Bombyx mori: one gene and its partner. The protein of the gene in region 1 interacts with the protein of each later gene in a pairwise test. Links are inferred from orthologs where the notes say so. Each region holds a gene or a part of one and is shown in the gene's direction. Other genes may lie near its edges.

What was found.
Region 2: the proteins of uncharacterized protein LOC101745013 (region 1) and heterogeneous nuclear ribonucleoprotein U-like protein 1 interact in a two-hybrid assay, tested with the Homo sapiens proteins (2 studies listed by BioGRID and IntAct). The link is inferred for Bombyx mori from reciprocal best matches to the Homo sapiens genes PRMT2 and HNRNPUL1.

Annotation. Positions count from the first base shown.
Region 1 is NC_085125.1:5,641,250-5,645,662, reverse strand, and holds the start of uncharacterized protein LOC101745013, read left to right. Parts: upstream 1-1,595; 5' UTR 1,596-1,764; coding exon 1,765-1,818; intron 1,819-1,889; coding exon 1,890-2,126; intron 2,127-2,994; coding exon 2,995-3,188; intron 3,189-3,577; coding exon 3,578-3,789; intron 3,790-3,908; coding exon 3,909-4,140; intron 4,141-4,413. Other genes in the region: mitotic spindle assembly checkpoint protein MAD1, read right to left, coding at 112-284, 705-891. UniProt on the Homo sapiens protein: Arginine methyltransferase that methylates the guanidino nitrogens of arginyl residues in proteins such as STAT3, FBL, histone H4. Acts as a coactivator (with NCOA2) of the androgen receptor (AR)-mediated transactivation.
Region 2 is NC_085130.1:5,992,915-5,997,257, reverse strand, and holds the start of heterogeneous nuclear ribonucleoprotein U-like protein 1, read left to right. Parts: upstream 1-1,452; 5' UTR 1,453-1,676; coding exon 1,677-1,806; intron 1,807-4,343. Other genes in the region: dynein regulatory complex protein 8, read right to left, coding at 451-564, 814-838.

The DNA of each region.
Region 1 (4,413 bases):
GAAAATCAACAAATCTGTTCTTGATTTCGTTTCGTTCTTGATTTTGTTTTTATGTTACATTGAAAGTATGTTCTAACTTTTAAAAAAATATAAGTTTATGAAACACTGTACCTGTGCTTTTGCAGCAATCAGATCAATCTTCAAACGTTTTGTTTCCCATGGTGATGGTGGTGCTGTGGTTCCATTACCACTTGAGTCTCTTCTAAGCCTCTTATCTGGTGTCACATCATCTACGCTACCGATACTCGACTTTCTTTTACCAAATGTCAGTAGATTGGAGAGGCCTATTTAATGTTTATAAACTTATTAAGTTTTGACATTTTACTTCTGAACGTCTGCAGTTTATTGAAAAGGTGACAAACTTAACTAATGGTGATTCTGTTGTTAATAACAGAGGCAGAAATATTTATGAGATATTATTTTTATTAAGACTGAATGACTGACTGACTGATGGACATACATTGCCTTTCAACTATCCCTTTCAATCAATCTTTTCAAACTAACGCGAATGATTACGCTTGGAAAACAGAAATTTAAAAAAATCAACAAATTGAAAAACAGCGAACAATAGACATGAAAACAACGATCACTCGTCTTGTTTTCAATTTTAGGTTAAATGTATTTCTTGAACTTAAATTTACATTGTACCAGATGTCTCTCAAATGTGCTAACATTTATAGTTAGTAAATTATTTCTCACTATACCTTCTTTTATAGATTGAGTACTATCAGAAAAGTTTAGATTTGTAGACGCCGATAACTTGTCTTTTGGTGGTTCAGTGTTTATGACCCTACGAAATGGTTCAAGCACATCGCTGTATAATGACATATCACTTTCTTTAGCCATCTTCTTATATTGAGAAACATTTAATTTATATTCTCGATTTATCATAACCTATCTTAATATTAAATTTTATTTGTCATTTTGCTAAAAAGTAGCAATATTAGCGTTTAAATCTGTCTATGACCAACTCATAGACATTTTTTTTTGTACAATTTTTCCTCTATAAGAAAGGTAAGGGGATCTAAGCTCATACAGCCTACTCATAGACTCACTTTATTTGTAGAGATCACTTTTATTCGTTTCATCTATTTAACGAGCAAATGGAACCCTATAAAATGTTGAAACAAAACCTAAATGTTTGTTGTATTAAAAGTGTAATGGAACTGAATAAAATAAAATTTATAACGGAATAAATTAAATTAAAGTGAATGTGGTGAAATAAGATAGTGCCATAGATTTTGAACGAGATGAAATTTAGGAGCTTCTAAGTAGTGGAAATTCATGGAGAGTTGTTAGATTTTTTAGAAAAACTCTAGTCTTCATTCAGTAAATTTGCTTCATTTTTACAGATTTTAAACCGTCAATAAGCCGTTATGAAACTTGAATAAAAAATAAAACCACTGCTAAACCTAGACCTTTTTTGATAGGTTTTTTGAAAATTGAAGTTAGCTGCTTAACAAAGCAAAGCTAGCAAAGCTTTGAATCATAGTACACTTAATGACACGTCTTATTGTCTTATTTATGGTAAAAGGCTGTATGGGCTTAGATCCTCTTGCCTTTTCTAATAAGGAAAAATTGTACCAAAAAAATCTATGGCAAAGACTAGTTTCAAAGAGTATTTAACACTACGTCTAACTAGTTTGTGGATTGATTTCCGTACATCAATATTTTTGTTTTATTTGTTTTTCGATTACCTATCTATTTTTCATTGATAAAAAACGAAATATTTTGACTAGTTCGTAAGTTAAGCGAAGAAGTAAAATGGAAACTGAAGAAGTGCAGAACAATTACTTTAACAGCTATGAAGATTTAGAGGTTAATCTATAAAAAAAAAACTAAAAAGACTAACTTTACTGAATATTTTTTTATATTATCTAATTCAACAGGTGCATACATTGATGTTAGAAGACGAACCAAGAAACCTAGCTTATAAGAAAGCGATATTAGGGAATAAATGTTATTTCAAGGATAAAATAGTAATGGATGTTGGATGTGGCACAGGAATTTTATCTGTTTTCTGCGCCCAAGCAGATGCTAAAAAAGTATATGCCGTGGAAGCAAGTAATTTAGCGAATTTAGCTAGAGAAATTGTGAAAGAGAATGGTTTCGAAAATGTTATTGAAGTTAGTATTGTCCAAATTAAATTTTTATTATTGTAGACCAAACAGTAGTACACATTTTATTTGAAGCAATTTTTTAACATTTTGATCGTCCTGTGGAAATGACATACAGTAACAGAATTAATTTTGTTTGAATACACTGTACAGACTTTGTTGTGGGGGCATAAAGGTCAGTCTTTAAGGATCTCAATGGCAAGATTGCGAACAATGACCATTAAAATACTGTATTATGTGTATGCATAACTACTGAATCGAGTCAATAGAAATCATTAATGAGATATAATGTTGTAGCTTAAAAAAGAACCCAGGTTTACTTGTATACAACTTTAATAATATATCAGTGTTCAAATGCCGCAGACAGATACAGTCTTACCAAAGAAATATAAATTTAACACAAGCTCATAATTTTTAATCTGATGGAATAAATTTTTAAAATCACTCAAGGAAAAGGGTCTTTGGAGCCTGCAGTCTCATTCACCTGTGTGTACAACAAAAAAGTAACAAAGATGTCTAAAAAATTACCAAAAATTCATATTCAATTCAATTCATAATTGAAGCACAAATTATGAAACCCAAAATTTCCAATTGTAATGTCTTCTTGTGTATTGTAGACATCTATGTAACCATTTATTTGTTAAAACTCCATAAAAAAAGAAATAAAAAAATAGTTGAATACCAAATCTTGGGTTAAATCTCCATTAGCGTTTCAATATTACATAGGACTTTCGGTTTCTTCTTTTGGTATCATCAGTTGGTTGGTTTCTTCTTTTACTTCATATGTCTTTGTTCTGGCAATTTTTAGAAGTTTCAATTGTACAAGAACCACTTACTACAGACTGATATAAATAATTAAAAACTTTTTTTTTTCTAGATAATTCACAGTAAAGTTGAAGATGTAATATTACCAAATAACATAAAAGTAGATGTGATAGTATCTGAATGGATGGGTTTTTATCTATTGCATGAAGGTATGTTAGATTCTGTGCTAATTGCTCGAGATAAGTTTCTTAAGGAAGGGGGAGAAATGTTTCCTGAAACGGCTGTTATTTATGTTGCACCATGTAGGTAAGGCAAATTGTATAAATCCTAATATGACTTTCTTTTCATTATAATTTTTATAAAATAAACAGGTTAATGAGTTAAGGCCCACCTGGGCCCATAGACTTTACCCCCTTGAGACATGACATTAAACTTTCAATAATAATATACAATGGTTATCTTACCTTTCACACTGGAATGTACAACTGCTTTACAACAGGAGTCAACACAATGACACCAATATGTAAGGGTTAAAAAAAAATTTTCCTCCACCAGTAATTTTCAAGTTTATAAATTTTGTGGGTTCAACTATTTCCACAGTGTTATTCTTTTGTCATAGAAGTCAAGATGAAACACTTGTTGAAATAACATTAACAATTTGTTAGTATCTCTATACCTTCTGTTTCTACTTGCAGCATACCTTCACTATACAACAAATGGAACAATGTGCATGGAGTATCAATGTCTGCTTTTGCTAAACATCTTCGCAAAAACAAATCCACTAAACCAGAAATTTTGAATATAGAGCAAAAGGATTTGCTTGGTGATGAAGTAGCACTTTGCTGGATTAATTTGAGGGAAGACAGTGCATCTGATTTGAATGAATTCAGCATCCAGCATGTTGTTGGTATTTAATCTTTTTATAATGCTTATGTATTTCCATTAAAACACATCTAAGTTAAATGTAAAAGTTTCAATTTTTTTATATTTTGTTATTCAGTAATTGAGTCAAAGTCCCTATTTCAGGAGCTAAAAAATCTGGTTCTTATGAAGGCTTGTGTCTATGGTTCGAATGCAATTTTCCCAGTATGTCTGAAACGAAAGACGAGAATCGTATAATTTTGGACACCAGTCCAAATAGTTTGGCAACACACTGGAAACAAACAGCAATAGTATTACCACAGGAAGTGGAAGTGGAAGAAGGAGAACCAATAGCTTTCCAACTCAGCATGAAAAGGGATACAGAACATAACCGGAGGTAAAAATAGAAGGCTTAATTTTTTATTATATTTTAAGGTATATATTTAGCTGATAAAAACAAAAAGGGATCAAAATTAGACTACCATAGTTTGATCATTCAGTCTGTAAAAACAAATATGATTTGTTAAAACAATTATTATTTTAACATTTTGTGTAATCTAATACTTAATATTAATATATAATAATAATAATAATAATTTATTTATTGCTCTCTTAAAGGTACAAGGTACATACAAATTCAAATGGAAATAAATTAACCTTATAATTTATT
Region 2 (4,343 bases), on another chromosome or scaffold:
AACAGTCTATTTAGTACTCAAACAGTTATCCGCTTAGAAGTTTCCAAAACAAAAAACGGCCTAAGGGTCCGTTCACACAGACCGGCTCGGAGAGGAGAGCACCTTCATTCCGACTATTCCTCCTAAATAATTTGTAGCGACTCGAAGACGTGAATAATCACTGTCATACTAAAATTGAGATATCTATTATCCTAAAAGGGTGAAAAATTGGAGCACGGAAAGCAAAATGATGACTTTTTTCATGCGTAATTACGTTGTAAACACGGCTATTGTATTCTTACGATATTTAGTATGATTTCGCGATACTTCGGCACTGTTCCAAGCGCCATCGGCTACTCGTGGTGACTCGTGTCTTTTAATTTACCGTGAGAGTCAGAATTTTTTAAATACTCTTTATTACACTAGTAAAGTATTAAAACATTTAACGAAAACCAGAAAAAAAAGCATTACCCAAAGATCGAAGAATTGTTCCTATTTCCCTTACATCTACGACTTGCTTCCCAGAATGGTCAAATACTTCGAAAGCTTCAATTATTTTTTTCTCCAAATCATTGTTTGGTTGAACTAGAAAGATACATTTAAGGTATATGAGATATACCAATATATGACATATATCAGATATTATACCAGACGTAATATCTATTTACCAATAAAAATGTTTGGTTTTGTTTAAATTTCAACTAATAAATGTATTTATGTATGTATTCATTTATAATAAAATTTAATGAGTGATACTAAATTACACAGTATTTACATCGCTCGTTTATAAATTATTAAATGTATATAAAGTAAATCTTTCAAATAATAACTAACTTTTAGGTTCCTCTTTTCTTGCCATAATGAACTAATAGTTTAATTATAAGATTTGTAACACTAATAAGTACACGTATTAAATTGAAAAAAATATTCCGTAACCAGGCAACACAACCTATCAGTTATCACTAGTGTCATCGACGAAGCTTTAGTTCTATTTTGCACCAGAGCTGCTGTAAGTTAGTATGTATATATGTGACGGATGCTTTGAACATGATTTTGACCCCCTTCAAAACGTAGACTGAAATCAAAATTTGACATAGGTACTTATCAAGGACCGTTGACAATGCAATATTTTAAACAGTTAGACCTATTATCCATAAATTAGTTTTTTTTAGGATTAGCTCCCAGTTTTAACAGCTCCTCCACAATATTGACAAAGCTTAATTCAACCAATGTACAAATTAATAGCTTATTGTTGACATGTTGATGTTTAATTGTCGTACCACATTCAAAAAATATTAGTTAAAAAAAAATATATACTTTAAAAAACACAAAAATATGCTTTTATAGAAAATCAAATAGAAAATAAATTCATTGTAAAAACAATCCAATCTATACTGATTAAACAGCAGGCTTCCAGACTTTTGAGTAGTATGGATAAGAAACCCTTGGCCTTTTGAATTTTACAACAAATAGCTTATTCCAAAAAATTCTGGAATCGCCAATCCCCACCATAGATAATATACCGCCATTTCCTTCCGTTATGCTGATGCGCCGCTAAATCGCCATTTTGGATTTAGTTGGCGCTTTTTCTGTCGTGAATTTTCGTTCAGATAGTAATAGAATTAATATTATTTAAGCACATGTGTTTTAAAAACTTTAAAGTGTTGTGAAGTGGATACTATCAGACGATTAATACAATGGATCCTGCTAAAATGAAGGTGGTGGACTTGAGGTCCGAGTTGGGTGCTCTCGGGTTAGATACGAAGGGAAACAAGCCGGCTTTGGTAGAAAGATTGAAAAAAGCACTCGAAGCGAAAACTGGAACAGGTTAGGATTTCAGATGTAATTATTTAATGCGTAATGTACAGTTTTTTAGTAATGTTGCTGAAATTGTTGTTAGGGACTTTTTTAATTACTGCACGTGTACATTTGTCGATCAATCATGGATCATTGTTGCACTGTTGTTTCCACTTTAAGAGATTTAGTGTGATTCTTAGTAACTTTAACTTCCGTAGTAACCATACATCAGTTTGCTGTCCCATTTAGAGATTTGCAAACACACCTATTTTAATATCTGACGCCAAAATCAAGGTTACGACTTTATTCACACTCAAGCATGAGATAAAATCGCATAAAAATCTAATAATTTATTAAATATTAATGTACAGCATCATTAAGTTTTCGAAGTATTTTATATGTTTTTACTGATACAACGACGCATATCAGTTATTGCAGTTATTCCAACTGAACAGTTCAAATCGTAATCGGTTTGAAAACTTCGACATCGATATCAATTTATGTATACACTGTTTTATGGGAAATTCATTCATATGATTATTCTTAGGCTTAATAATAGGTAAGAAGAGCTCGATTCTGCAAAGTAAAATAAAACGAAATTCAATCAAATCAGTTAAAAGCTTTTTTTGCACAAAATGTATACGTCTTTTTGCTTCTAATGTCCAGATATAGTATTTTTAGGTATAGAAGTAACTTTAAGGATACAACCTTGATTAATTAATGTTTTCCTCTAAGGTCTTCAACGAAATTATTAACTACTGTTATTTTATTTAAATTTGCTATCAGATAATATGTTGATTAGTATGAAATATTAAGACTAATATTTTCCAGAATTGTTGAAAAAAGCATGGGTAGCAAATTAATTTATTCATCACAGTCTTATAGATAACAAAGATAATATACAGAGATGGTTTTTAAAATAATAATTAAGTACCTAATCTACTAAATAAAAATAAATACCATACTTTGTTTATGATCTGTGTTTTAAAAGCAATGTTTATCATTAAATTGATGAAGATTACAATGGTCATATTACTGTCAACCTTATCTAAAATAGGTTGCATGCAATATGTTACAAACACAGAAAACTTATTATTAAATAATAAAATTAAGTAAGTTTGTTTCAACTTTATTTTGTCTGTGGTGGATGCTTAGTATTGCAACAGATATTATAGAGTTCAATAAAAAATTATGGAGAGAAAAAAACAAAAAAGTCTGAAATCACACTGTGGATGCAGAGAGAATTGAATGCATAAGTGGTATATGATATTTCAGGGAAATGAGCAGGACCCTAGTGCGACTTGTACCGGTGCTTTGCAAAACAAGTCTTTGTTCAGGTGCGAAATAATGCTTCATTCTGTTGAGGATTCCCAAATTTTACAAAGCAAAAAATGTCATGTAGTATTTCAATTACAATTAATATTTATTATCAGACTATAATAGAGTAGGTAATACCTAGAACATTGTTAATGAATGCAATGTTCGATTATTGTGAACATTTTAAAATTGTTAGTTAATATATAAAACATTTTCAACAACAACATAAAAACATTATTGAAGAAGTAATTTTTTATTTTAATTCCTTTAAAACACTAACAGAGTTAATATAAGAAAATCAACCATTAGAACTGGCCAGAGTGCTTAGTGTAAGTTTTTGAACTTCTCAATCATGTAAAAGTCAACTCAATTTTGTATGGGGTTGAAACAGCGCCCCTTTGTTTCTCGCTAAACGCATCAATTATGCGACTGAACAATTACAGCCCTTATGGAAAGTAGTTTTGTAGAACATACAATACTGTATTTAGGATAGTATATAGTATATATAGGGTTAAAATAATTTATTAAACTATTAATTTAATATCATAAAAAGAATGTATGTACTAAAAAAATTCATCTAAATTATGAAATTAGAGATTAAGAGAAAACAAGCAATGTAGTGATTAATTCACATGCAAAACTACTTCAAATGAAAACAACAGTGTTTTAAATCATTTTGTTCAAAGTAATCACTATGGTTGTCTTTACCATTTTTGTAAATAGTAATGAATGCATAAATAAATAAAATAAAAGGTTGAGTGCTGTTTGTGTAAACAGTAAAAAAATGTTATTTATTAAATTTCAACAAGCATATAATAATTTATGTACATCCATAATAAATAATTATACAGAATAAATTTCTTGTACATTTAGATTACATCATGCTTTATAGCTTGTTACCATCTGTACTACAAAAAATATTGTCACTGTATTTAAAAAGATAGTTAAAAAAAATTTGAGTTTTGAATAATTATTTTCCTTATGATTAATGCCAGAATGCTCTATATGCTTAAACTATTTGAAGACTAAATTAAGAATATTGATAAGGGATACACCTTAATCAATTTTTATTAATTTGGCTTAACACCCTAAATACACTTCGATAAAGCGGCACGACACGAGAACCCTCTCATCGTGGCCGCCGGTAACTACATTCCCGATCCTGCGGACAGAATCGAAAGCAGTCGACGTCGCCCAAAACACGTCATCTCGGATCCTCCCGATCCACTAACGGTGCTTTTAGGTACTTC